Elephas maximus indicus: one gene and its partners. The protein of the gene in region 2 interacts with the protein of the main gene of each other region in a biochemical or structural test. Links are inferred from orthologs where the notes say so. Each region holds a gene or a part of one and is shown on either strand. Other genes may lie near its edges.

The links.
Region 1: the proteins of UBE2D1 (region 2) and TRIM31 form a complex in vitro, tested with the Homo sapiens proteins (4 studies listed by BioGRID). The link is inferred for Elephas maximus indicus from reciprocal best matches to the Homo sapiens genes UBE2D1 and TRIM31.
Region 3: the proteins of UBE2D1 (region 2) and MKRN3 form a complex in vitro, tested with the Homo sapiens proteins (2 studies listed by BioGRID). The link is inferred for Elephas maximus indicus from reciprocal best matches to the Homo sapiens genes UBE2D1 and MKRN3.
Region 4: the proteins of UBE2D1 (region 2) and RNF7 form a complex in vitro, tested with the Homo sapiens proteins (11 studies listed by BioGRID). The link is inferred for Elephas maximus indicus from reciprocal best matches to the Homo sapiens genes UBE2D1 and RNF7.

What each region holds. Positions count from the first base shown.
Region 1 is NC_064819.1:89,764,163-89,771,077, reverse strand, and holds the start of TRIM31 (E3 ubiquitin-protein ligase TRIM31), read left to right. Parts: upstream 1-3,891; coding exon 3,892-4,308; intron 4,309-4,936; coding exon 4,937-5,032; intron 5,033-5,816; coding exon 5,817-6,047; intron 6,048-6,915.
Region 2 is NC_064834.1:29,993,531-30,000,524, forward strand, and holds the start of UBE2D1 (ubiquitin-conjugating enzyme E2 D1), read right to left. Parts: upstream 3,023-6,994; 5' UTR 2,805-3,022; coding exon 2,781-2,804; intron 1-2,780.
Region 3 is NC_064831.1:99,037,854-99,045,077, reverse strand, and holds MKRN3 (probable E3 ubiquitin-protein ligase makorin-3), read right to left. Parts: upstream 3,011-7,224; 5' UTR 2,896-3,010; coding exon 1,480-2,895; 3' UTR 494-1,479; downstream 1-493. UniProt on the Homo sapiens protein: E3 ubiquitin ligase catalyzing the covalent attachment of ubiquitin moieties onto substrate proteins.
Region 4 is NC_064841.1:17,958,364-17,965,421, forward strand, and holds the start of RNF7 (RING-box protein 2), read right to left. Parts: upstream 3,003-7,058; 5' UTR 2,896-3,002; coding exon 2,721-2,895; intron 1-2,720. UniProt on the Homo sapiens protein: Catalytic component of multiple cullin-5-RING E3 ubiquitin-protein ligase complexes (ECS complexes), which mediate the ubiquitination and subsequent proteasomal degradation of target proteins.

The DNA of each region.
Region 1 (6,915 bases), on a different chromosome or scaffold from region 2:
AGAGCAAGTAGGAGTACATAGCAAGGTGTATATAAATTTTTGTATGGGAGACTGGCTTGATTTGTAAACTTTCACTTAAAGCACAATAAAAAAATAAAATAAAATAAATTTTGTTAATAATAAAAAAATAACTGCTTTTAATTTCTTTCCTTTTACTTCCTTTGGAAACCCTGGTGGCATAGTGGTTAAGTGCTATGGCTGCTAACCAAAGGGTCTGCAGTTCCAGTCTGCCAGGCACTCCTTGGAAACTCTATGGGGCAGTTCTACTCTGTCCTATAGGGTTGCTATGAGTCGGAATCAACTTAACGGCACGGGGTTTGGTTTTGGTTTTTTACTTCCTTTGAGTTACCTTTTTCCAGTTCTTTATTTTAAACTCTTAATTCATTTATATTTAGCATTTTATTTTTTTTAGAAATTTCACGTTAACTTATAAATGTCCCTCCCAGTACCACCTTAATTAATCCCACAAATTGTGATACAGAGGATTGCCTTTGTCACTCACTACTGAATATTTCGTAATTTCCATCATAATTTCCACTTTAAGCCATGTATTAAGAGCTTATGTTTTAGTTTGCAAACATATGAGTGAGTTTTTGTTCGAATTATCTTTTTTGTGTTTTTGCTCATTTTTATTTAAATTATAGAGAATATGATCTGCATCATAGAAATACTTTTTGTCGAGACTTCTTTATGTCCTAGAGGGTAATCAGTTCTTTGAGTGATCCATGCACACTGGAAAACAACACGTTATCTCTTTGTTGAGTATAAAATCCTATGTAAAAATATCTGATCAAGTTATGTTGCTCAAATTTTCTATATCTTTAAAAATTCTGTCTCTGTGTCATCTTTCAATTTCTAAAAGAGGTGATAAAAATCTCTCCATATTGTGGATTTGTCCATTTCACTTGTACTTGTCTTGGTTTTTGCTTTATGTCATTTGAGGCTATGTTTTTAGGGAGGTCCACGAAGTTCATGATCGTCATGTCTTCTTGAAGATTTTTCCTTTTTGACAACATGGAGTGTTCGTCTTTATTTGTTTAATGAATTATTTTACTTTTGTTGTTTTTGTTGAGAATCTATACAGAAGAACATAGGCTGATTCAACAATTTCTACATGTACAATTCAGTGGCGTTGATTACATTCTCTGAATTGTGCAGCCATTCTCACCCTCATTTTCTGAGTTGTTCCTCCCCCATGAACATAAACTCACTGCCCCTCTTTATTTCATGCTTTTTATCTTAAATTTTATTTTGTCTGACATTCCTGTTGTTGGGCAGATGTGAGTTAATATTTTCCTACGTCTTTTATCATCCCTTTATTTCTAGACTTCATTTCATTTTAACTTTGTTTCTTATAATCAGCATACAGCTAAATTTTAAAAAGATACATATGCTGCAAAAGACCTCTTTAAAGTTTTATAAAGCAAAGATGACACTTTGAGGACTAAGGTGTGCCTGATCCAAGTCATGGTATTTTCTATCACCTCATATGCATGGGAAAGCTGGACAATGAATAAGGAAGATAGAAGAATGGACACCTTTGAATTACAGTGACATAATTTAAAAAAAAAAAAAAAACCTTTTTTTTTTTTTTACATACATATGCGGGGCCCTGGTGGCACCAAAAGCTTGGCAGTTAAAATTCACCAGCTTCTTCTTGGAAACCCTACAGGGCAGTTGTACTCTGCCCTATAATGTCCCTACAAGTTGGAATGACTCGTCGGCAATGGGTTTTGCTATATATGTATATATATGAGCTATAATCTCATAATCTCTGTCTTTTAAAGGCTATCTTAATATATTTATATTGCTGATGATTACTGATACATTGGACTTAGCGGTGAGAATTACGTTTGCGATGTAACACACTCAGAATACATGCAGAAGAAATATGTAAAGCAGGATCATAAGGTCCAATACTCCCATGGGCCTAACTGACATGATCTAAGGAGCTAGGGGGTGGTGGGGAAAATAGATCTCCTCTCTAAAGGCATCAGAATTATGGTTATTTTTTCAGTCACCATGCCTGACAAACAAAACCTGTCCAAAAGTTAAATTCTGCTTCCAGGGGCCAGCAGTTTAGGATGTGTATAAACAGTAAATCATTATACAAATGTTAAGATGCTTTAATTCATCCTCAAAGCAAACAAACAGAAAAGCCTGGAGGAATAGACTTTCAGAAATTCTTTGACTTTCAGCAATTGCTATAATTAGGACAACGATATAATTTATTGTGTGAACTGAACATTTTGAGAATGAACGGAGAAGGTATTAATAATTACTCCAGGACAATGAAACCAGGGGCTGTCCCAGACAAATCAGAATGTATCTGGCTATAATCTTATAATCATCTGCAATCTCTGTTTGACCTAATATTGATATCCAATGAAATTAATGGTTACTTCCTGGTAAGGACAGAGGGCAGATGCTGGAGAGAACAGAGGTTGGTTAGAAGTCGGAATCCAGATGAAGACAAGTGGGAAGGAGGAAAGGTTAGGACACAATTGTGTTGAGTTACAGAAGGGAGTACAGATGATGCTAGTTAATAAATTTCCTAGTCAGGACAGAAGGCATAGGCCAAGGCAATTCAGGGATCAGAGAAGCAACAAGAATCAGGAAGAAATACAGATACATTAAACATTGTTATTGTTGTTGCTATGGAGTTAGCTCTGACTCATGATGACCTTAAGTATAACAGAACGAAATGTTGCTGGGTCCTATGCCATCCCCATGACAGTTGATAGGTTTGAGTCCATCGTTGTGGCTATTGTGTCAATCCATCTCATTCAGGGTTTCCCTCATTTTCACCGACCCTCCACTTTCCCAAAGATAATGTCCTTTTCTAGTGAAAACAAAGAATGGGCATGGAGACACCAGCATATTTATGACATACAGGAAACGACAACAAAGGACAGACTGGTTCAGGTGCTACACGGAAGTAAGGATCCATTAGGGTCAAGAACAATGTACAAATCAAGAGAATGGACTTGCAATAAATTTCTTGTTTTCCCACTGGACCAGGAATCTCCCCATGAGAGGGATGGTGGCTTTTTCCTTGTGACTAGAAATTCCCTGAGGTGGCTATCTTCCCTAGTTTCAGAAAACTCTTCAAAGTGAGCAGCCAAAGTACCTGACTGAGGTAAAGAATCCTTCCCTCCTCTCCATATGGAGTCCCTAGGTGGTGCAAATGGTGAACACATTTATCTGCTAACTGAAAGGTTGGCGGCTTGAGTCCACCCAGAGATGCCTCAGAAGAAAGGCCTGTGATCTACTTCTGAAAATCAGCCACTGGAAACCCTGAGGGGGCACAGTTCTACTCTGACACATGTTGGGTTACCACGAGCCAGAATCCACTCTCCAGCAACTGGTTTTTCCTTTCCATGTGCTCTCCCAACATCTGGGCTCTGCAGACAAGAGATGTCCAAAGCCATGGCTAGTGAACCAGCTGAACGGTCCCAACATGTGTGACCTCCAAAGGCCTCACCCAGCCTCTCCACGCCCTGCTGAAACTGACAGGAAGTCTTCTGTCCTGTGGACTTCGGTACCATGGTCTTTTAGGAATCAGTTAACTGCCTTGTATCTTTAATTAGTTCAAGGTTCAGAACAAATTGCCCAACCTGATAAGCAGTATATATCCATTTGATCTCAAGAAGTAGTAAGGTAGATTGGCCCATCTGTTCTCTCTCTTTAAAATATTCTCTACATTCTAATTCTTACTCTTTTTTTATTCGTTTACTCTTTTATCCCCCTTTCCCCCCCCTCCCTTCTCCTCTCCTTCCTTCTCCCTTGCTCAAACCAGTGTCCACAACCCATCTCCCCGCAGCTCAGAGAAACCTTCCTGCAGACCTGGTACGACTTCGTACAGACCAGAAGAAGCCCTCCTGCTTCATCATGGCCAGTCCACAGTTTGTCAGTAACCTGCAGGAGGAAGTGATCTGCCCCATCTGCATAGATATTCTGCAGGACGCTGTCACCATCGACTGCGGGCACAGTTTCTGCCTCAGCTGTATCAGTTGGACACAGGATCCATCAGACGGTTTACTCAAATGTCCCCTTTGCAAGAAATCTGTGAGGAAGGACACGCTGAGGCCCAACTGGCTGTTGATGAATCTGGTAGAGAAAATCCAAGCTATGAGTCCCCTTGAGGCACAACCAGAAAGGGAAGAACCAAGATGTCAGAAGCACCAAGAGAAGATCCATTACTTCTGTGAGCATGATGGGAAGTTTCTCTGTACAGTGTGTCGTGACTCCCAGGACCACAAATCCCACAAAGCCAACTTGATAGAAGAAGCTGCCCCAAAGTATCAGGTAAGCATTTTGGGTCCCTTTCCTGTCTCGCCCATCAGACCAGGAGCTCGGTGAGGACATGGGAATGGTTACTTCTTTCCTCTGGGTTTGCACTACTACCACCCCCGCCCCATACACTTGAGTGGGCAGTTCAGAGTCAGGCAGGGTGGGCACTCTAGGGATCTCATCATCTCTGGCATACCATTTAGTTCAAAAGTCTGAAGTGTTTTGAAGTCAAACCATAATGAAAAATGGAAAAGGCAAAAAATTTTGAATCAGAAGGTTCGGGCTCAAGTCCAAGCTCCTGAGTTTTCCATAAGACATTCAAGGAGTCACTTTACTTCTCTGAGCCTGTCTCAGCTTTCAAATGGGGCCAACAGAACAGAATTTACCTTTATAAGGCAGTCTGATAGAACAAATGAGGGAAATCCTTTATTAACCCCAAGGCACCATTCAGATATTAATTGTAATTATTCACAGATGACACATTCTTCTCCTGTAGGTCACTGAGGCCCCAGATTTCTTCCTCCCTATCATAACCAGCTCCCAGCTCCCCCCAGTCTCACCCACCTTCCCGAGAGATCAGGAGGTTTTGTGAGGCCAAGAGAGCTCCCAGGCACAGCTTAGGAAAATTGTCCTTTCCCCACAGGGACTAATTCAATTACAACTCAAGGACTTGCAGCAAAAGGAGAAGATGATAGTAGAGGTGAAAGCACAAGGCGAACGGAAGATCGATGTCTTCAAGGTAAGAAAATGCTCAGGTGTGGGTCTCTCTGTCCAACGGTCCTTGGAAGCAGATACATCTTCTCTTTCAAGCCCCTAGAATCTCTTATTACACTCACCACCCAGAAAAAGACCCAGTGACAAACAGAGTGGCTCAGAGTGGGGCAGAGTGTAGGATGGGCAGGCTGGAGGTACAGAAAGACTTGAGGCATCATGGTTTAGGATGTGTTCATGCCTTCTCCTCTACCACAACATTTGCTTGTCTGCGATAGCACCTTTGCACCTGGCCTTGCGTTATTAGAGTAGGTCAAACACTCCAGTCTCCTCCACCTGGAGATAGTGATGTAGGGAAAACGGGCTGGTGTTAGCATCAGAAATACCAATTTAAATACCTACTTCTGCCTCTTACCTACTGTCTTTACCTAGAGACTGACTCCCCAGTTAAAAAATGAAGACAGTGTAACTCCACCCAACCTCTTTACCTGTTTTGTGTGTGTGTGTGTGTGTGTGGGTGGGTGAGTGTGTGTGTGAAAGGAGATTATAAATTGAAAATGCAAGATAATTTTAAAGACTCAGGCCCTTGAAGGCAAAAATGATTAAACATTAAATAAGTTACCCTAAAACTGAGCTCATAGTAAATGCTAAAATAAGTTAGTTCTCCTCAACTTTCTTTTTCCAAATCTGCCATGGAACATTGTTCTACATTGACAACGTAAGTGTAAACAATAAAATTGCAAATTGGATGAGATGGGTGAGAGCCTCTGAGGCCATCCTGTCTTCTGAGTGTCCATTCTCCTCGCCCCCAGGCCCAGGTGGAGCATGAAAAACAAAGGATCATCAGAGAATTCAAGCACCTGCGTCAGGTTCTAGAGGAAGAGGAGAAGTTTCTCCTGTTACGACTGGACTGGCTGGCTCAGGAGGGAGAGAACGGGGGTCACTTCTTTGGCACTTCCACTGAGGCACAGCTGAACTCTCTCAATAGGCTTGTTGATTTCCTGAAGGCCAAGCAGCAAATGTCACCCCGTGAGATGCTCTCGGTGAGAATCCCTTGGGGGAGAAGCTGCAGAGAGGGACCAGCCCATCCCTAGTCACAGGTCAGAGCGTGACCACCTGGCAGAATACTGCTTGTTGTTTTTGTTAGTTGCTGTCGAGTTGATTCTGACTCATGGCAACCCCATATGTGTAGAGTAGAACTGTGGTCCACAGGGTTTTGAAGGCTGTGACCTTTTGGAAGCAGATCCTAGGCATCTCTGATTGGGTTTGAACCACCAATCTTTCAATTAGTAATACTGAGATCATCCCAATCATTTTACCTCTGGCACAGCACTGTCCAATACAAATACAATGCTAGTCACATATGTAATTTAGAAATATATTGCAAGCCACATATGTAATTGAACTTTTTTTTTCTAGTAGCCACATTGAAAGAGATAAAAAGAAACAGGTGAAATTAATTTTAATAATATATTTCATATAACCCACTATATCCGAAGTATTATGATTTAAATCAACAACAATACTTAAAAGTATTGATGAGATATTTTACATTTTTTATACTGAGTTTTGAAATCTGGCACACATTTTACACCTCAGCACCATCTCAATTCAACTGCTAAATTTTCAATGGCTGAAGTAAAACGTAGTCCTACCAAATCAATAAAGTTGTGTTTGATGGAAAAAGTATTTTACACTCCTTCAGTTTTTAAATTTAAATTTGTCAAAATTCAATAAGTTAAAAAACTCAGTTCCTCATAGTACTAGCTACATTTCAAGTGCTCAGTAGCCACATGTGGCCTGGCTGCCATATCGGACAGCATGTGTCTAGTTGATGCTCAAAATAAGCGGAGATCCCTCCTGAATTCACCTCCTACTCCCATCAGTGCAAGAAGCCATTTCTTTCTTTCA
Region 2 (6,994 bases):
CTGACTTTTTAGCATTCTGAAATATGTCAAATCATGCAAGAGATTAACCTTGGGCAAAGCACTCTTCCACGCCAGTCCTCAAATTCCTTCTTTGACAAATAAAGAGAAACTAGAATATCAGTGGTTCTCAACCTTCTTTCCATTCCAGCATATCTGAGGGATTCAACATCTCTCCATTTACAGCCGTGAGGCCAGTCTGGAAATATCCTACAGGTAATTCTGGTACACTACCCTAGAAGTTGTGCCCTGCCTCTGTCCTCTTGAGTCTTAGTACACTGGAGGGTTCTCTGAGGTTCTGCACAGTTCTAAAGTCTGACACTTTTGATACAGTAAGGAAAATTACAACCCAGTGACCTAAAAGTTATGACAGTGTTACTTTAACAGGCTTAAAAAGAAAAGGTCACAAGTTAGTAAACATCTTCATTTACGGGAATATGCAAGATTCAAATTTTTTTTTTTTTTTATAGTGATGGCCTCTAAGAGTGCTTTGTGACCATCCTCATGGCAAACAGCATATCTTACCCTGAATCAGCTTCTAATCCAGGAGGTGGGCAGAGAAGGGAGGAAGAGTAGGCAATCAATCAAAATAATTCCCCCCAGGTTTGAGGGAATGGTTTGAACATGCAAGTAATACAAAGGAGATTTGTGAAAGTTTATCTGTCTGATAACAGAAAAGTGAAGCCAAAGACAGACACATGGAGATGCGATGTTATGTGACCCCAAGCGTCTCCTTCAAAATAACAATCTGACACTGGTCTGACCTCAATTCTATGTAAATAATATTTTTGTAGAGGACAACTTTGTTATAAACTAGTAATAACTAATATTTACTAAAATTATGATGTGGGCATATGCCATATTAAAAATATAAATATAAGCCAAAAACACTGGCTCAGTATGGTAACTGACAAGAGTTACCCAGTGTGATATTTACAAATAGTACCCCTATTTCTTTGAGTATCCATTTATTGTGATTCTGCCGTAGTTAAAAGCTACGGTACATGCAATGTCATGTGAAAAATTCTCACAACTAAGAAAGAAGACTACTGAGTTTTAAAACCTCCTTCGGAAATGTATTTGATCCAAATATGAACCAATACACTACCGTGTAAGGTATGACAAAGGTGCTGACTAGAGTTTCAAAATTAGGGTTCTCTATATGGGAAAAAAAAAAATGTATAATTAAAAAAATGTATAATTACATCATCTTCAAATCTGAAAACATATTACTCAATAAATGCTGATTGCTATATGTTTTGTAGTGAGATGACCCTTAAATGCACAATCAATAACAGTGATTAACAGATTTAGTATCTGAACAACAACAGAAAAATGGCTGGGTCTAAAAGTTGCTGTCCTCTGGGCTTAAGGATGTGACTCAAGATACAATATGTATATCTCTATCACTGCTCTAGCATATATAACTAGTAACCAGCTGCCATTGAGTCAACTCTGATTCATGGTGACCCCATGTGTGTCAGAGTAGAACTGTATACCACAGGGTTTTCAGTGGTTGATCTTTCAGAAGTAAATCTCCAGGGATTTCTTCCCAAGGCACCTCTGGGTGGACTTGAACCTCCAACCTATCGTTAGCAGTTGAGTGCCTTAACCATTAGCTCCACCCAGAGACTCCAACATATACTACTGTTGTAGTGATTTATGGTCGAAAAGTTGATAAACATTCATTTACGAAACACGCTGTCTGTTGGCTTAACTTGCTGAATGCACTCCCCGTTTAAAAATAAATTAGCAGTGTTCCTAACAGGGACAATAACACCTAAAACTCGGGTTAGTGAACAGGCCAATAACCCAACAAGAAATAAAAGTGAACAGAAAGAAAACGCCCAAACCCCAGTTCAGTAACATATTCACATTTGAAACAGTAGCAATGAACAATATGCAAGTGAAGACAACTCCATGCACAGAACAGGGATGGGTAAACATTTGTTAAACGAATATACACATTTCTTCCTCATTCTATACCCATGTGTCAAAGCATCAAACAATTTAATTTGTGTCAGTTTCTGTTGTGTCTCGAACTTTACATATAAGTTTATCATGGGAAAAAAAAACCTGTTTGGCTTGAGTCACCGTGAATCACAGCCAGGAGGTCATCTTGTTGTGTACCAGCAACTATGTTTTCACTACAGCTATGTGACCTCAAGTGGCAGCAGCAGAGGTACCAAAATAGAAGGAGCAGGAGGAAAAGACTGGCTTCTCGGCCCCCAAATGGGCTTTTCCAGCCCATTCGGGCAACTGAGCAACAGCCAAACGCAGAGGAAAGAAAGAACAAATCCAACAGCTCAAAGGAGAAAGGCTGCAGGCCCACCACACCTTCCTAGCCCTCTCCAGGAGCCCGGAGAAGCAAGAACATAAAAGAGGCCGGGCATAAGAAACAGCGTGGAGAAAACAGCGTGACAGGAGCCAAAACTAGCCCGGTGTAGGGCAAAATCCAGCCGTGACCGTGAGGCACAGGTTTTTGGGAAGGTCTGGAGATCGAGGAGGATCTCCAGCCGTCGGCTTTGGGCGCAGCTCCCGAGCCAGCGCGCAGGGGGCTCCCTGTCCCCAGGCATCTCCAGGCACCAGGGACCTGCCCGGGCTCCCACCTCACCTGTCCGCTGCTCGCTGACCCCGCCGGCGCCGCCGACCCCTGGCCTCCTCCCCGGCCCACCCTCCCATCCCGTGCCCTCCCGGCGCGTCTCTCGGGACCCTCGGCCGGGTCTGCGTGGGCAGGGGGCCGATGCCCGCCCCGCCACCGCAGGCCCGGCCCGGGCACTCACTTTCTGAATCCGCTTCAGCGCCATGGGTCGGGGAGGGCGGCGGGGACACCGGCCAGCGGGGGGCGGCTGCGGGCTCGGGGGCGTGGGATGGTCGCGGGCTCGGCTCGCTGGCTGCTTGGCTGGCTCAGCCCGGTGGGTCCCCGGCTCGCCGTTCGCTGGCTTGCTGCGCGCGCCTGTGCCTGTACAGTGTGCGCCCGAGCGCGAGTGTGCGAGTGTGCGGGCGGGGACGCCGGCGAGACTCTTTTGTTTCCGCTTTTGCTTCTGGGAAGGAGCCTGCGTCCTCCCTGCCCGCGCCCCGCCCCGCCTGGCACACTGGGAAGTGTAGTTCTGCGCCCGCTGCTCCGCTGCCCAGGCTGCCCCCCAGGCGCTGGAGGGTGACTAACTGTTGACCTCAACAGCGAACCCTGGGGTTCTAGAGTTAGTCTCTATAGTTTGACTTGGAGCAAGTCACTTAATCTGGAGTTCTCCATTTGTAAAATGGGGGCTAACAAATGAGCCAGTAAAGCACTTACAGAAATTTAAAAATCTTGAGAAAGCTAATGCATTAGCCAGAATGTGCTACAGCTGATCTTGTTATCGTCACAGATTTCACTCTTCTAAAATATATGAATTGCCTCGATTTTTCACTCCACACATGCACAACTCGTGCCTATTAGATGACTTCTTACTTACCTACTTAGTTCCTAATGTCAGAGAAAAAAGGCGCCCTTTACGTCCAATGCTAATTCAGCATACGGCAATGGGTCTGGGTACTTTTCCCAAGCTCCTCCTTGAAAATTACCCCTTCAATTCTGAATTCTTCCCTTCAACCTCACCATTGGTTCCTTCCCTTCGTATTACAGTACCTGCTGAACAGTCCACTGACACTCCTTCCCTCAACACTAGGGACTTGTGTAACCATTAAAACTTGGCGTCTGCTCTCAGTCTAGTGGAATTAGTTTTCACCAGGATCACTCTTGAATTTCTAAGTACCAAATCCAATTCACTACTTATTCTTCGTGATGTTTTTGCAGCATTTAATTGCTGGCCATCCTTTTGCTTTTCAAAAGGCTCACTGCCTCTGGCTTCTATATATAGCCCCAAGATAGCTGGGTCTTCTCTGACTTTCCCTTTTCTGTCACTAACCAACAACACCAACCCGTTGCCGTGAGAGTCGGTTCGGACTCATGGTGACCCTATACGACAGAGTAAAACTGCCCCACAGGGTTTCCAAGAAGTGCCTGGTGGATTTGAACTGCCGACCTTTTGGTTCGCAGCCGTAGCACTTAACCACTATGCCACCAGGGTTTCCCATCCTAGTCCAGCAAAGTTTATTCTCAAGTCGCCAAATATACTGTTTGTATCCTTGGTAGCTCTTGATCACTATGCCACCAGGGTTTCCTTTCTGTCACTGTGCCCCAGAGTTCCAAGCCTCTATCCTCTTCACTGTCAGTATATTTCAAGGAGATAAACCTTTCCTAATTCCATGAACTAGAAGGCAGCGCAGGGTGGCTGGAGGAACATGGGGTTTGTAACGGAAGCACTACTACGGGTAGGAGCAGATTATCCAATAGGCAAGGTAAGCACGGGCTTACTTGTGCTTATTTACTTATCTGTAATGGTGAAACCCACGCGAAATTACTCACTACAGATTAGCAAGTAAGCGCAAGTAAACCCCGTGTAAACCCATGCTTGCTTTGCTTACTGGGTCATCGCTCCTGTCAGGGATTGTAAATCTGAAGAGACTTTGATTCTGTAGGAAGGTGCTGTGGGATTAGGAGAGAGACAGATGCCAGTCGCACCTAGAAGCAGAATCTTTGATGTTGTGAAAAAAAATGAAATTGTTCACTACAGATGATTTGGTAAACGAGGTAAGCTCTGTGCTTACTTTGCCTATTAAATAATCCACCCCTGATTCTGGGAAGAAATTCCCACTCTCACACCTACCAGCTGTGCTACCTTGGCCAAGCCATTTAAATGCTTTAAGCCTCAGTTTCCTCATCTTTCAGTAGAGATAATAATCTCTAGATATATTATTGTAGGAATTAATTGGCATTAATAGATGTAAAGTGCCCAACATAGTGCCTGATATATTGAAAGTGCTCTCTATATATTATTTCCTTACTTGTTTTAATCTATATGGTGATGACTATAAAATCTCTTTCCAGCCCGTTCTCTCACACCAGTTTAAGTCTCACATTTCCAAAAGCCTACTGGACATTTCTGCCTTCCTGCCCTGCGGCCAGGAGTCAGAGTCTGTTACTAGAAGGTGAGAGTGGGGAGAGCTTTCCAGGAAGCCAAAATCAATATTTACCATAGCTCACAAAGAACAAGGAACAGAAATCCACTCAAGTAACTTAAAATAAAAAAGTCCAGGGGAGTAAGGTTTTGGAAGAATGATAGAAACAATCAATTAATGGGACCTGAAACTTAACTTGGAAGCTGCTCCCCCCTCCAAAAAACTAAGGGAAGTCTGGGGCCTGGCTACTCTCTTACTTTCCTTTTCATCCTCCTTGCTTCTTTCGGCACACTGGCCCTGCCCTCCTCTTTCTAGCACCTGCCTAGTTTCTGTTACACAGGTTTTAGACTTGCCACAGCCGTTTCTCTACTCTGTTGATACTCTTTCAGTAACTGCCCCGATGCTAAATGGCCAAGCCTTTTAGTATTCCCTAGTTCATATCCGCAAAAGAATCTCATTGGAACAATTCATTATTTTACTCCAGGCTGTAAGTTGTAGCCATTACCTGTCAGTTTGTTGTGCTGTGGTAGGTTTCATATTGCTATGGTTATTATGCTGGAAATTATGCCATCATTTTTTTCAAATACCAGTAGGGTCACTCATGGTAGACGGGTTTTACCAGAGCTTCCAGACTAAGACAGAGTAGGAAGAAAGGCCTGGAGATGTACTTCCTAAAATTAGTTGATGAAAACCCTATGTATCACAACAGCATATTGTCTGATATACCATAATGCTGGAAGATGAGCCATTTAGGTTGGAAAGCACTAAAAATACACAGTGGCCACAACAATTCACTTGAGCATTCCAATGATCATGAAGATGGCGCAGACCAGGCAATATTTTGTTTTGTTGTTCATGCGGTTGCCATGAGTTGGAGCCCACTTGACAGCAACTAACAATGACAAGTTGTTAAGTAGTGGACAAACTATAGGTTGATTGCCATTGTGTTAGGTGGCTACATATTGTTCTATCAGCTTTGTTCGATGTTTGGAAGTACTGTTGGGAAAAGGGACTTCCAGAGAATATCAGGGAAGTCTTATCTCCTACAGAGAGGTGTATCTGGACTATCTTGATGTACCATTTTTGTACTCCAGAGAAAGGGACCCTAAGTAGTTATTCCTTTTTGTAGGGGAGCATGTCCTTGTAAGTGAGGGTCCAACGGTCTAGACATGGGCGGCAGTGGCTTTGCGGAGTTGCATTCCTATGCTGAGAGTCTTGGGATATTATATGGGAAGTAAGGTCATATCCAGCCTCCACCAGTATGAGAAAGCAGTAGTTGCAGGTAACCCATTGCAAGCTAACTCAGAAAAAACTTCCAGGGTCATTCAGTGGACAATTTTGGTCATCTCTTCATAGACAACAAAAATACACATTCAAGTAGGGGCTATGAATAGGGAGGTTTCATTCGAAAGGCAGTAAGAGCCCAAGACAACAGCATCAATTTCTCCCTACTCCAGGCTATCCTACGTGCACACACATCGCGTCATTCCATTGCTTAAAACAATCTCTACTGGATTGTATCATGGAAGTCCAATGCCTCAGCTTAGTGCAAAAGGCCCATAACAATTGGGCCCCAAACTCCTTTTCATCTTTAGCTCCACACATTCCAATTAATTAATTCCATGTGCCTTTGCACACTGCATTCTCTCTGCATAGAATGACCTACCACCATTCACCCGACAAATGTACACACGATTTTCCAGATCCAACTCGAACATTACATGCTCTGATATTCTCTTCTACCTATTCCCCGATGTGGGTTTATTAGTATTTATATTATTCTTTTAATTCCAGAAGCAATATGTCCATACTTTAGAGATATTCTTTTGTTGACTATCTCATTAGACCGTAAATTCTAAGAAAATATAGAAAATGTCTTACTTTTTTTTTAGTGAAGTAAACTTTACATAATGAACTACACAGATCTAAATATAATATTTGATGAGTTTTCACAAATAGATATACCTATGTAACAACAACCACAATCAAGCTATAA
Region 3 (7,224 bases), on a different chromosome or scaffold from region 2:
CAATTGTCCATTGAGGTTTTGGATTTTTCTATTTTTTTAATTATTTATATGTCTTAGGCTATGTTATTAAATGAATACAAAATTAGAAGCTATATATTCCTGGAAAACTGTAATTTTAATGTTTATATAGCATTCTTCATTTCTGTCCATGAATAACATTAACTTTGTCTTTGCATTTGGTTAACATTCTCCCATCCTATTACTTCCAGTGTTTCTGTATGCTTGTATTTGTGTAAACAACATAGTTTCATCCCAATTTTCATCAAGTATGATAATCTGACTTTTAGTTTTATACTGTTTTCAGTTAGCCTAATTAAGATATGTTATAAATTTTCTGTATTAGTATTGTATTTAGCTTTTTGTCCTAAACTTCATTCTTTTATCATTCCATTCCTGTATTCTGAACGATTTCAGTACTTTTTATTTTTCTACTTTCCTCTTTATAATCTTGTACTTATATTTTTAAAACTTTTGTCAAAAGTCCCTTGTTTGGAAAGGCTAGGGATAAAATATTGAACACAAAGAACTGCATGTCTGAGGTCATGACTGTGCTATTACAGAGGACAATGAGATGACACTAAACGCCACAGGGACATGCATTTCTAATTGCCAAAGTCATGCTTCGTATGTCCTTTAAGATCTGTGTCTGTCACATTTGGCCAACTTCACTTGAATTGTTTCATTAGATGCTAATAACTGACACCTGTACGGTACAGAAGGACTATTCACACACTTTGCACTCACACAATAGCCAATCCTGTTGCTCTTTGTTCTTCAGCTTACAGCTCTGCATTTATTTTATTATGTAAACACAATTATGTTCACATGTATGTTCTTGAATATATATTTCAAATACACTACTTTCATACAGACATACATGCAGACATATATATATTTCTTAAAGATATACTTTCTAATATAAATAATTTTCACTTCAAGTTAACAGGATAAAAACATGTAAACATATGCACTTGATTCAAGTAAAACACGAAACCACAAAATAACTGCAATATCATCAGTGCACTTGACAAGGGATGACAGAAGGGACAGGCATGTAAACAAAGAAAAATATGCAGCTGCGCCACAAGATCACACAATGATCCATTTGGTCAGTTAAGACTCCTCCTTTTACCCTGTCACAGTTATTCTTGAGAGACTTCAAAATGAGTGTAGAAATTCTGTAAACACTAACCTAGAACTGAGTGTATCTTGTTGAAAAAAGAGATTACAAGATAAACTGACAGCAATAATCATTTCACTGAACAGTAATTTTAAAGACTTTTGTTACTTTTTAACACGGCAAAACACCATAATCCTAGCGGGAAAGATAAGAGGAATGGGTAAGAAAACAGAAAGGGACACTGTACAAAAACTGTCACAACAGCCCCTGAAAGTGACAGATGGGTCTGTAAAAGGAACACAGGCAAAATAGCAGAGAAGAGGGCCTCTACAGACTAGACCACATGCCACAGCACGATGCTACGGAATCAAATTGAAATACTTTTCAAGCTCAAAAAGAAGCAACTCCCACTGGTAATCAGAAAAGGGGACTTTATAATTCCCCGTGGAAAGGAGATACTTAAACAACACCTTGGCCAGGCGAAGCCTGATAAGCTCCTTTTCATTGATCTTAAAGGACACGCTGCCCTCCACAAGCTGATTCCAGTAAGTGCTGGAAGTTCCAGCATCCTGCTTTTGGGATTCTTCTCTTTGACGCTCAGGGTTAACATGCCTGTAAAAACAGTGGTTCCCAAAAGGGCACCGATCTCTGCTTTCCATAAAATACCTGCAAGGCTTTTTGCTCATTGCTTTCTTGTAGTCCTTAATCAGCTGCTTCTTCTTTGCCTCATCCTCCACCCAGAACTCACTGGGAATAACAAGGTGGGAGGTGACCCTGCACTGTGGGCACGACTTGACGACCCTGTTTTGAAACTGTGTGGCTTTCCTCCACACACGGATACACCTCAGGCAGTAGGAGTGGTTGCAGTTGGAGAGGATGCCAAAGCGGCGAAGGCCGGCGCTGGGTTTCTCATAGACAATCTCCATGCAGATGCCACACACCTTGTCCATACTGCTCTGCACGGCAAAAGAGAACTCCATATTCCTCTCGTGCGCTTCTATACAGGCCCTTACGTGCTCTGCTCTCTGGGCTTCATTCACGGGGTGCAGAGCCTGCAGCCCACACATGTCGCACACCTCTCCGTGGAGATACATACAGTTCTCCCCATCAGGGCATTCTCCCACGGCAGCGTACTGGCAGAGCGGTTCCTCTGGCGCCACCGAGATCCGTGCCGAAGCCTGCGGGGCAGGCAGCGCCCAGCGGCCCCGGTAAGGCTGCCCCGGAACAAACTCAACAGCATCCGCCCAGGTTGCCGCAACTGCTCCGGCTGCTTGGCCGCCGGCATTCCCGCTCTCCGTTTCAAAAGCTGAGCCAATCAGCGGCAAGTTGTGACCGGAAGTACCAGGGGAAGCTCCCGCCACTTCCGGAGTCGAGGCCTCCACTTCCGCAGCCGCGCTAGGACCGCCGTCTGCAGGGTCCCGGAGCCCCGAATCGGGACCCTGGCTAGCCGGCTGCCGACCTGAGAGGTCGTGGGAGTAGCGGCACTTCTCCCCTTGCTTGCACGACCCATGTAAATGATACCTGCAGGTCACTAGCTTTGTCCAGGTTCCGACGCCGCGGTCCGGCACCCGTAAGGGCCCGGCCCCTCCCCCTGCACTCTGGACAGGCCGTAAGCCTCTCGCACGTCTAGGGACCGACCTTAGTGCCTCTGCAGGCTCCCCGGAGGCCGCGGACGCCGGTAGGCCGGAACCGCGGGCATCTCCCCCTTCCGCCCCGGCACCTGCCTCGGCACCGGGGGTCCTGGGGGCTTCTGAGGGAGCTGCAGACTCTCTCATGGCCTCCAGGGGGCTGAAAGTTACCAGGATGCCCCACCCCGGCGAGCCTTCCCTTCGGGCGAGAGGCCGGGCGGCCTCTTGGGCCGCCGGTTCTCTTCTCTAGGCGGTCCGTCACTTTCCGTCGTCCCCCTTGCTCCCAGCTCCCTATGACTATGAGTTCCTACGTACTTCCGTTCGCCAGCGAGGCGGACACTTCCTGTGGTGGCGCCGCTTCTGCTTTACCTAGTCTCTACTGCAGGCGTTTTCGGCAGACTTCCGGTTTTTTTCCACCGTGATAGTTTTGCGGCGCCTCGGCTATTTTCACGGCCTTGGCCCTGTTCGGCGCTTTGTCAGTCTCAGATGCGTCCCCCCGTCCCAAGTTCCGCTTATCGCATTGTCTCCTTTGGTGGATATAATCAAAACACTTTGAGGTTTTATATCGCTTCTATTTTTCATTCACGACAGCTGGTGGCGCAGTAGTTGAGCTCTGGGCTGGTAACCAAAAGATTTCCTTAATGGGAACCCACCAGCAGACCCCAAGCAGCTCCGCGGGAGAAAGATGTGGCCATTTGCGACAGCCTTGGAAACCCCATGGGGCAGTTCTAGCTTCACAAGGGGGTTGGAGAATCATTACCAGCATCAACAGCCTGAGGCAGGTTGCTTTGACGTGGAAGTCAAACCTACCTCCACCCTCCAACTTTTTGCCTAGTGCTGACACCAGCTGTTCCTCTCATGGGACTCTCTACTTCTCTGCTGTGTTTGATAAATGGTTTCAGTGGCCACACAGAAGTCTGTAAAGACTACAGCCTTGGAAACCCTATGGGGAAGTTCTGCTCTGTCCTATGGGGTGTCTCTCTAAAGCGTAACTTTGAGTCAGATGATTTTGTGGTTTTGATTTTATTTGACCAGAATCAGGTGCATATGTTTACATGTTTTATCCTGTTTAGCTTGACATAGAAATTATTTATGGGTAATGGATTTGATTTTTGGCTTTGAGTATTTTTCACTCATTCAGGTTTTTTTAAATATCTTTTTAAAATCACAAACCCTTATTTATATTTAAAAGTTCTTCTCATAGTTTCTGCAACATTTCATCCATGATTTTTATAAATTCTGTTTCTGTTCACTCATGCCCATTAGTTTGTTTTGTTTTGTTGTCTGATAATTCTCACTGCTTTAACCTTTTGTTTTGTTCCGTGGACAAAATTATTTCTTTTAGTTCCTAATGGCTGGAATTTTTTTTTTCCGTTTATAGATGCAAACAGTTTTCATTAGTGAGGCACTAGTAGGGAGCACTTTGAATCTTAGGCAACTTTTAGCACCTGTATTGTGATTTCTAATTTTCACTTCCCGGCTGTGCCCCAGACTTCTTCCAGTCCTAAGGCTGGCCTTTTAAGCCTCTGTCCCCTGAGTGATCCTGGCTTTTATTTTTGCTCGGCTGGTTTAATTCATCATAGCCCTTTATTTCCATTCCTTTTTCTCTTTCTTTTGAATCTCCTAATTCACCCAGCTTTGTGCTGTATTGTGGCAGAACAGCCTTCAGAACTTTGACTCTACTATACATCGGGCAAGTGGTGCTTTTTAATTTCCATATGTGTGAGCTCTTTGTCATTTTGTAGATACGTTTTATTAATGAACTTGTTTTCTATTACTACTTTGCTGAGAGTAGTTATTATGAATGTATACTGAATACTAATTTTCTGTGAATATTGATAGATGATCATTTTTTTAGTCTTCATTGTCTTAATGTGATTATTGACACATAGATTTTCACATATTAGCTTGACATTTTTACTAAGAATAAAGCTTTGCTGTGATGATGTGTCTTTCTCTTGTATATCATTGAATTTTATTGGCCAAAACAAGTTTCTTACAGGGAATTTTATAGCCTAAATTTAAATTTTAAAGTGAGAGAAAGTCTGACTATTTCTGATATAATCATCTAGGTCAATAATTTAAATCCTAATTAAGTAGATGGAGACGAGGCAAAGAGATGGAAAGTGTAGAAATGGCATGATGTCAGGGTCAGACCTCCTTCTCTAACTTCACAAGGGGGTTGGAGAATCATTACCAGCATCAACGGCCTGAGGCTGGTTGCTTTGAGGTGGAAGTCAAACCTACCTCCACCCTCCAACGTTTTTGCCAGTGCTGACACCAGCTGTTCCTCTCATGGTACTCTGTACTTCTCTGCTGTGTTTGATAAATCGTTTCAGTGGCCACACAGAATTCTGTAAAGACTACAGCCTTGGAAACCCTGTGGAGAAGTTCTACTTTATCCTGTAGGGTGTCTCTCTAAAGGGTAGCTTTGAGTCAGATGATTTTGTGGTTTTGTGTTTTATTTGACCAGAATCGGGCACATATGTTTACATGTTTTATCCTGTTTAAGATTGACATGAAAATTGTTTATGTGTAGTGGGTTTGGCTTTTGGTTTTGAGTATTTTTCATTCATTCAGGGTTTTTTTTAATATCTGTTTTTAAAACCACAAACCCTTGTTATACTTAAAAGTTCATCTCATAGTTTCTGCAACATTTCATCCATGATTTTTATAAATTCTGTTTCTGTTCACTCATCTTATGTCCATTAGTTTTTTGTTTGCTTGTTTTGTTTTGTTTTTTGTCTGAAAATTCTCACTGCTTTAACCTTTTGTTATGTTGTTTCATGGACAAAATTATTTCTTCTGGTTCCTAGTGGTTGGAATTTTTTTTTTTCATTTATAGTTGGAAACACTTTTCATTAGTGAGGCACTAGCAGGAGGCACTTTGTATGTTAGGCCACTTCAGCACCTTTATTGTGATTTCTAATTTTCACTTCCCTGCTGTGCAGGAGCCCCAGACTTCTGCTAGTCGTAAGGCTGGCTTCTTAAGCCGCTGCCCAGTGAGTGATGCTGGCTTTTATTTTCGCTCGACTGGTTTAACTCATGGCAGCCCTTTGTTTCCATTTATTTTTTCTCCTTCTTTTGAATCTTCTAATTCACCCAGCTTTGTACTGTATTGTGTTAGAACAGGTTTCCAGAATGTTGACTCTACTATACATGGGGCAAGTGGTGCTTTTTAATTTCCATATATGTGAGCTCTTTGTCATTTTGTAGATACGTTTTATTAATGAACTTGTTTTCTATTACTACTTTGCTGAGAGTAGTTATTATGAATGTATACTGAATACTAATTTTCTGTGAATATTGATAGATGATCTTTTTTTAGTCTTCATTGTCTCAATGTGATTATTGACACAAAGATTTTCACATATTAGCTTAACATTTTTACTAAGAATAAAGCTTTGCTGTGATGATGTGTCTTCCTCTTGTATATCATTGAATTTTATTGGCCAAAACAAGTTTCTTACAGGGAATTTTATAGCCTAAATTTAAATTTTAAAGTGAGAGAAAGTCTGACTATTTCTGATATAATCATCTAGGTCAATAATTTAAATCCTAATTAAGTAGATGGAGACGAGGAAAAGAGATGGAAAGTGTAGAAATGACATGATGTCAGGGTCAGACCTCCTTCTCTAACTTCACAAGGGGGTTGGAGAATCATTACCAGCATCAACGGCCTGAGGGTGATTCCTTTGAGGTGGAAGTCAAACCTACCTCCACCCTCCAACGTTTTTGCCAGTGCTGACACCAGCTGTTCCTCTCATGGTACTCTGTACTTCTCTGCTGTGTTTGATAAATCGTTTCAGTGGCCACACAGAATTCTGTAAAGACTACAGCCTTGGAAACCCTGTGGAGGAGTTCTACCTTTATCCTGTAGGGTGTCTCTCTAAAGGGTAGCTTTGAGTCAGATGATTTTGTGGTTTTGTGTTTTATTTGACCAGAATCGGGCACATATGTTTACATGTTTTATCCTGTTTAAGATTGACATGAAAATTGTTTATGTGTAGTGGGTTTGGCTTTTGGTTTTGAGTATTTTTCATTCATTCAGGGTTTTTTTTAATACCTATTTTTAAAACCACAAACCCTTGTTATACTTAAAAGTTCATCTCATAGTTTCTGCAACATTTCATCCATGATTTTTATAAATTCTGTTTCTGTTCACTCATCTTATGTCCATTAGTTTGTTTTTTTGTTTTGTTTTTTTTGTCTGATAATTCTCACTGTTTTAACCTTTTGTTGTTTTGTTCCGTGGACAAAATTATTTCTTCTGGTCCTTAATGTTTTGAATTTTGTTTTTTTAGTTTATAGTTGGAAACACTTTTCATTAGTGAGGCACTAGCAGGGAGCACTTTGAGTCTTAGGCTACTTTTAGCACCTGTATTATGATTTCCAATTTTCACTTCCCTGCTGTGCAGGAGCCTCAGACTTCTAGTCCTGAGGCTGGCCTCCTAAGCCTCTGTCCCCCGAGTGATT
Region 4 (7,058 bases), on a different chromosome or scaffold from region 2:
CACAGAACCAGAGAATTTTACAACTGTAAAGGGAGGCTTTGGTGATCCCAACTGCCTCATTTACAGTTAGGAAAATAAGACTCCAAAAGGTAAAGCCAAACGTCTAAATTAACATATTGCCACGAAGGGGTTGCTTCAGCTCTTTATCACGTAGCTCTTCCAGCAAACTTCCTCCTCTCCCTCACCAGCATCTGCTGACTGTGCCATCTGCTCCTTTCAGGATGAAGGGAGGGGAGTGGAACCCAGGAAGAGAGTGTTACCCAAGTCACAAAGGACTGACGGGAAACCTTGGAGCAAGAGATCAAAACTACATCATTTATGTGTCTGAGATAAATTCCAAATATTAAAGAAATGGGATTAAGTGGGCGCTTGTTGCACAAAGTAAAAATCTTTGGATTATGCTTACAGCTTTGGTTTAGATTCATTATCAAAAATTAATCAAAATCAACAAAAATTCCTAAAGTTTCAGATAAAAGAAAAAAAGTCCTTTAATATTTCTAGTATCTAAAGCAGCAAATTTCTAAGGAGTACAATAATAGCAACACCTTTTAGGACTCTGGGGTAAGGACTGGGAAGTCTTTAAAACTTTTTCTGGGGTCACCAGTCCACTAAGTGGATATTAACACCTCATAAACAAAACACAGCTCTAGTCTAGAATACGTCCCTGAACCCGAAGTAGAGCTGTTACAAACCTTCAGCATCACTCCTGCAGTAGCGGAATACTTGCTGTAATTGGAAAGTTAACGATGAATTTGAGCCATTTATAACCCATACTTTGACCTACTATAAAAAGACCAGTAAAATTTATTTGTTGCACTTTGATTATTTTAGGTTTCTCCATTTCCATTTGCTATTTTTAAAAATTTCTTCTGGGAAAAAACAGCTTTTTTAGAGATAAATTCTTTTTACCCTAGTGGAAACCTATGGGATAAAATTTTTAGCAAAGCTTGTTCTGTAAAAGATGAGATGTGTAAGTTGCTTGGATCAGTTAAAAATGTCACCTCAACGGGAAGCTGTGATTCTAGTACGTAAGGTGTGTATCTGCGGGGAGGGGTGGGGGTGAAGGGGTGTTCCAGGCAAACAAGCTAGATGCTTTTAAATCCAACATCCAAGTAAGCAGATCATGTCTAAAATCAAGTTTTTTCAAAAGTAAAAAGTAACATTTTGATTCCCAGTGTTGTAAATTCTTTTCGAAACAAGCCCTTATGAATAAAAAACGCATACTAAAAAAAAAAGAGGACATAAATTGAGGTTTTTGTTACTTGTTTCTGAGAGCTCATTTATGATTAAGTACGTTTTTTTTTATGTTTACCTTTTCATAGTCATGCACTGCACATGAAATATGTTTTTCCCCCTTTATTTCACCGTGATGTTTTGGTCGGATAGAGGTTATGTATTAAACATAACCATGTTCTACTCTTTTTTGTTTTTGAAGGAAAAGAAATTTTAAGTTATTTTCTCCAATTCTCTCATTTTCAGGACAAGCCAGTTTTCAAACCATAGAAACCTCAGATTTTTTCACCTACCCCGAAGAAACATTTAAGGTGCTATGACAGTAATTTTAAATGCCCTATTTACAAACGTAACTTGCATTTAAATTTAAACAGCACCTCTGCTGCAAGGTAGTCGAAGACCTTAAAACCGAAACCATATAAAATAAAACCGGATTAAGTTGTTGCAGGTTTCCCTTGGTCCAATATTTTTATTGAACATGTCACAGAAAGAGGTTAAGACGTATTTCTGAAAGAGATTTTCCACAAAGGCATGAGTCAGAGGGGGGCACATCTCGGAAATGGCATTCTACGATGGGGCGGGGGAGGCGCGAAGGGAGGGCAGAGGTCACGTTTTCCCTCTCTAGCCCACATGCATTTATTATTGGAGTAGAAGCACTGTCCCTGAAGAGCGGACTTAGAGTCCTCAATTCCCATGAAACACGAACATTCTTGAACTACACTGTATTCCCTTCATGCCGAACGATTCCATCCGACTCGCCCTCATCCGGAAACGCAATGTCTGGGAAGACTTCTCTTTTCTGCGCTTCTCAGGAGCAGGACGGAGGGCGTTGCTCACGTGGAAGATGACTCTAGAGTATCACTTTGGTGTGTGACCAGAACCATCAAAGTTCTCCTGAATCAGGGCCTTTACCCTGACCCCTTTCCGGTTTTGCTTTTAGAGATGGGACTGGGGCTGGGCACACAAACCGAGGCGGTTCCTCCCAGCTCCCATTAAGTCACCCGATTTTATTCTCCTGGTCCTCGACTACAAGCCTAAAGTTTGGCGGTTCAAGCCCACGTAGAGGCGCCTCGGAAGAAAGGCCTGGCGATCTGCTTCCGAAAGCTCACAGCCTGGAAAACTCTATGGAGCAGTTCTACTCTGCAAACATGAAGTCGCCACGAGTCTGAATGGACTCCACTGCAACTAACAACAACCACTTGAAACGACTTTTGTTTGTTCTTCCACTCGCTGACTGCCGGCCTCCCTCGCTAGAATACTCCCCCCAACCCCGCACCCGGCGCTGGGCGCCTGCTGGACGACCCGGCAGCCCCAGAGAAGGCGACCACCGTCCTGGGACCAGCAGCCGCACCGGCGTGGCCCGGGTCCCACCGCCCCGGGGCAGGCCGACCCCCGCCCACGCCGGCAGGGGTCTTTCCGAGGCCTCGGGCCCGCCCGGCCGCCCGCGGAGGCCGCAGCGCGGCCCGCGTCTCGCGTGCAGCGCTTACCCATCACCTGGACCCTGCAGATGGCGCACGTATCGCACTCCACGTCCCAGCTCCACATGGCCACCGCGTTCCACTTCTTGAGGGAGAACATTTTGTCGCCCCCCGACTTGGAGCCTGCGCTCCCGGAGTGAGAGGAGAGGACGCCGGAATCCTCGCCGTCTTCCACGTCGGCCATGACCGCGGCGCGAAGCCGGCGGCGGAGACGTTGGGCCGCCGGAGGAGGACTGCTATGGCGGCTCCGTGGGGCCGCCCGACGGGCCACAGCGCCACCCGCAGGCCGTGGGCTACTCCGGGCCTCCGCTCGGGGCCGCCCACGATTGGCTGGCGAGGTCTGGTGACGTCACTCTTCGTCGGCGCGGGGGTGGGGCCTTAGTCCCCGCCTCCCCGCCCTGGGGCAGCGGGGGAGCCCGCCAGGTGACTGGGGGGGGGGTCGGGCAGTCCTATTGTTACCGTGTCACGTTAGGCGCACAGACTGCAGGAACCACGTGCCCTGTTTTAGGCCTTCACTAAACGGACCACTTTCCAAAGCTTGTCTCCCAAAATAAACATCAGAGCAGGGGCCATGTCTGGAGTCTTCATCACCAGCTTATATCCTCGGTGTCTAAAAAATGCCTGGCCATAGTAAAAAAAAAAAAAATTTTTTTTTATAGTAGGCGCTTGACAATTATTTGTTGAGTGAATAAATGACCTTGAAGATCTTCTAGAAATCCGGTTCGCTGCTTCTCAGAGTTTTTGGCGTCTGAATCCCTCTACACTCTTTAATTATTAGGACCTTAAAGACCCACCCCCCCCTTTTTTTTTTAATGTGAGTTATATCTATCTACTTTTAAGAAATTAAAACTAAGAAAAAAATTAAATATATTTATTCGTTTAAAAATAACAGTAATAAATCCACTACAAGATATTATTAGAGTGATGATCATATAGCCTTTTGAAAACTTAAGCGACCGGGCTGCTAACCGAAAGTTGTCGGTTCCAGTGGCTCCACGGTAGAAAAACCTGCTTTATAAAGATTATAGCCAAGGATACCCTGTGGGGCCGTTCTGCTTGTCACATCAGGTCAGTATGAGTTGGAAACCATTAGAGGACACCCAACAACAACGGTACACTCAGGAGAAAATAAGAGTGAAAGATGGAAATAGCTTCTGAATATTATTTTGCAAACAGGTTTGCACTTCGCATTCTGAAAGAATCTTAGGGACCCTCGACCACACTTTGAGAACCCTATAATGTAGCTTAACACCTTTTTTTTTTTTTTAATGTAGGGATAATGAGTCCAGAGAAGTGAAGTAAGTTAAAGGTCATGTTGCTATTATGTGATGGTGACAGTTTTGAAACCAGGGTCGCTCTGCTGCTAAAACCAAAAACCATCTGCTGTCTAATCAGTTCCAACTGATCAGTGACCCCATATGTGTCAGAGTAGAACTGTGCTCCATAGGGTTTTCAACGCCTGGTTTTTTAGACGTTGATTGCCAGGCCTTTCTTCTGAGGCACCGTTGGGTGGACTCAAACCACCAATCTTTTGGCTAGCAGCTAACCATGTTAACTGTTTCATATTTTTATGTTTTCCCAAGCAAAGCAGACAACATCTCCATTTTAAAGATAAAAAAAGCTGAGTTACAGAGAGCCTCAGGAATGGTCTGATTCCCCACCTATCCACCTATCCTAGTTATCTAAAAAAAAAAAAAAGTTATCTAGTTATCTAGTGCTGCTATAACAGAAATACCACACATGAGTGGCTTTAGTGAACATTTATTTTTTCACAGTTTAGGAGGCTAGAAGTCTGAATTCAGGGTGCTGGCTCTAGAACAAGACTTTGTCTGTTTGTCTGCTCTTTTGAGCTTCTGCTCCTGGGTGATCTTCATGTGGCTTGGCATCTCTCTTTCCCCATCTCTGCTTGCTTCCTTGTTTGTTTAATCTCTTTTATACAGGCAGTCTCCAATTTAGGATGTATATGAGTTGTGATGTACCACACTTAAAGGAAGTCTTTTTTTTTTTTTTATATCTTGGTACTACACACAAAGTTGAAGTACACAATTTGCTGATGTTCTTCTCAGATGTTCACAGGCAGATGTTTGAAGATCATATTTATAAAGATATTGATAATAAAGTACAACAATAATGAAAACTAAAAAAAGAAAAAGGTATTTGATTTACATCAGAACCAACTTACCACCTGGTTGTTTTAAGTCAGGGACTACCCTTAAGGTTATATCTCAAAAGAGACTGTCTTAAGACACACCCTACACTAATACTGCCTCATTGACATAACCAAGAAAACCTATTCCCAAATGGGATTATAACCTAAGGTATAGAGGTTAAGATTTACAACACATATTTTTCAGGGACACAATTCAATTCATAACACCACAGCTACCTAGTGGTGGACACCTACTGTGTCAGGTTTGGGATTCAGAGCCTCCTACCTCTTACTGGGTCTCTCAACATCTGCTCACTCCTTATCCCAAGCCTTGTGTTTGGGTGGGGAGTAACTAGACTCAAGGAGTCTGATGGGAGAAACAAGAATGCATAAATAAATAAACATAGACACAGGGTCACATGAGGCTAGATGCAAACCTGAGCTATTTGTTGGACAGTGCGTAACGTGCTATGAGGGTACAGAGACATGCCTGAGGACAGATAGAGTGAGGGAAAGCTTGATGGAAGAGATGAAGTTTGATCTGGCAGAGATGGAAGGCCCTCGAAGCCAGGAAAAGAGTGAAGAGAACAAAGCTCTTTGAGCCATCGACAGGAACAGAGCAGTAGTAGTGGTGGAAGTCGTGGATCTGACCATGCTAACTTCATGAGCCAGACTAAACGCCTCTAAGCAAACCCAGATGAACCATACAAAACACATGTTCTGTTTCTATTATGCGGCCACACATTTATTAGAGATGGCCATAAATCCTAGACAGCTAATAAAAAGGGAAGGCTGGAACTGGACGAGGATATGATGCACCCAGTTGGTTAGAATTGGGCAGTTGGAAAGAGGAAAGAAGGGAAACGCCGCTGAAAGGAGGAAAGGCTGAAGGATGGTCTGGACACGAGGAATGATATGTCCTATACTGAGGCATGAAATCCAGAGAGAGAGGTCTTTGCTACTGTGACTTTTGAGAGTAGAAGCCAGGAGGGATGATGGGGGTGGGAAGTGACCGTGCAGGACATTTTAGAGTGATGAAGACATTGTGGGTAAGGAGGTGAGTTCAATTGTGACACATTGTATGTTAGGACTTTTCAGATGACAAAGACAACAGGCATGAAGTGATGTACAAGAGTTCAGTGCAATAAATGAGGATCACTGGGGAGAGGAGAGAGGAGGAACAGAGCCCAAGGCTGGAGGGGGTGTCCAGGCGTGGACAGGGCCAGCTGGAGGGGACACCTGTGATTCACCTCCTTTGACTCATCCCGGTGAGGGTTCGTCTCAGATCATAAGCACCTGTCATGGATTGAATTGTGTCCCCCCAAAATATCTGTCGATTTAGCTAGGTCATGAGTCCCAGTATTGTATGACTGCCTACCATTTTGTCATCTGATGTGATTTCCCTACGTGTTATAAATCCTATCACTATGATGTTAATGAGATGGATTAGGGCAGTCATAGTGATGAGATCTACAAGATTAGAGAGTGTCTTAAGCCAATCTCTTTTAAGATCTAAAAGAGAGAAGTGAGCAGAGAGACATGGGGACCTCCTACCTCCAAGAAAGCAGAGCCAGGAGCAGAGCATGTCCTTTGGACCCAGGGTTTCTGCTCAGAGAAGCTGCTAGTCCAGGGGAAGATTGATGACTAAGGACCTACCTCCCTTCAGAGCTGACAGAGACCAAAGCCTTCCCCTGGAGCTGACTCCCTAGCCTACTAGACTGTGAGAGAATGAGCTTCTGTTTGTTAAAGCCATCACTTGTGATATTTCTGTCACAGCAGCACTAGATGACTAAGACAGCACCTCAAAGGCAGCCACTGTAGAGAAATTTAGAGTCCCTGGATGTATAAATGGTTTGTGTGCTCAGCTGCTCACCAAAAGGTTAGAGGTTCAAATCTACCCAAAGGTGCCTAGAAAGAAAGATCAGGTGATCTAGCTCTAAAAAAATCACCCATGAGAAACTGTAGGGATCACGGTTCTGCTCTGACACACTCGGGGTCAACATGAGTTGGAATCTACTTGACGGCAACTGGAATGGGGACACCTGGAGAAGAACCCAGGGAAACAGGGCTTCGCCTGCTGTCCTACTCAGCTCTCACTCTTCCACGTTACTCTCACCAGCTCCTGGGGCAGAGGCCAGACTCGGCTCTGCATTTCGGGACCCCTTCCCTAGCTGCAGGGTCTCCATAGCTCGTTCTCA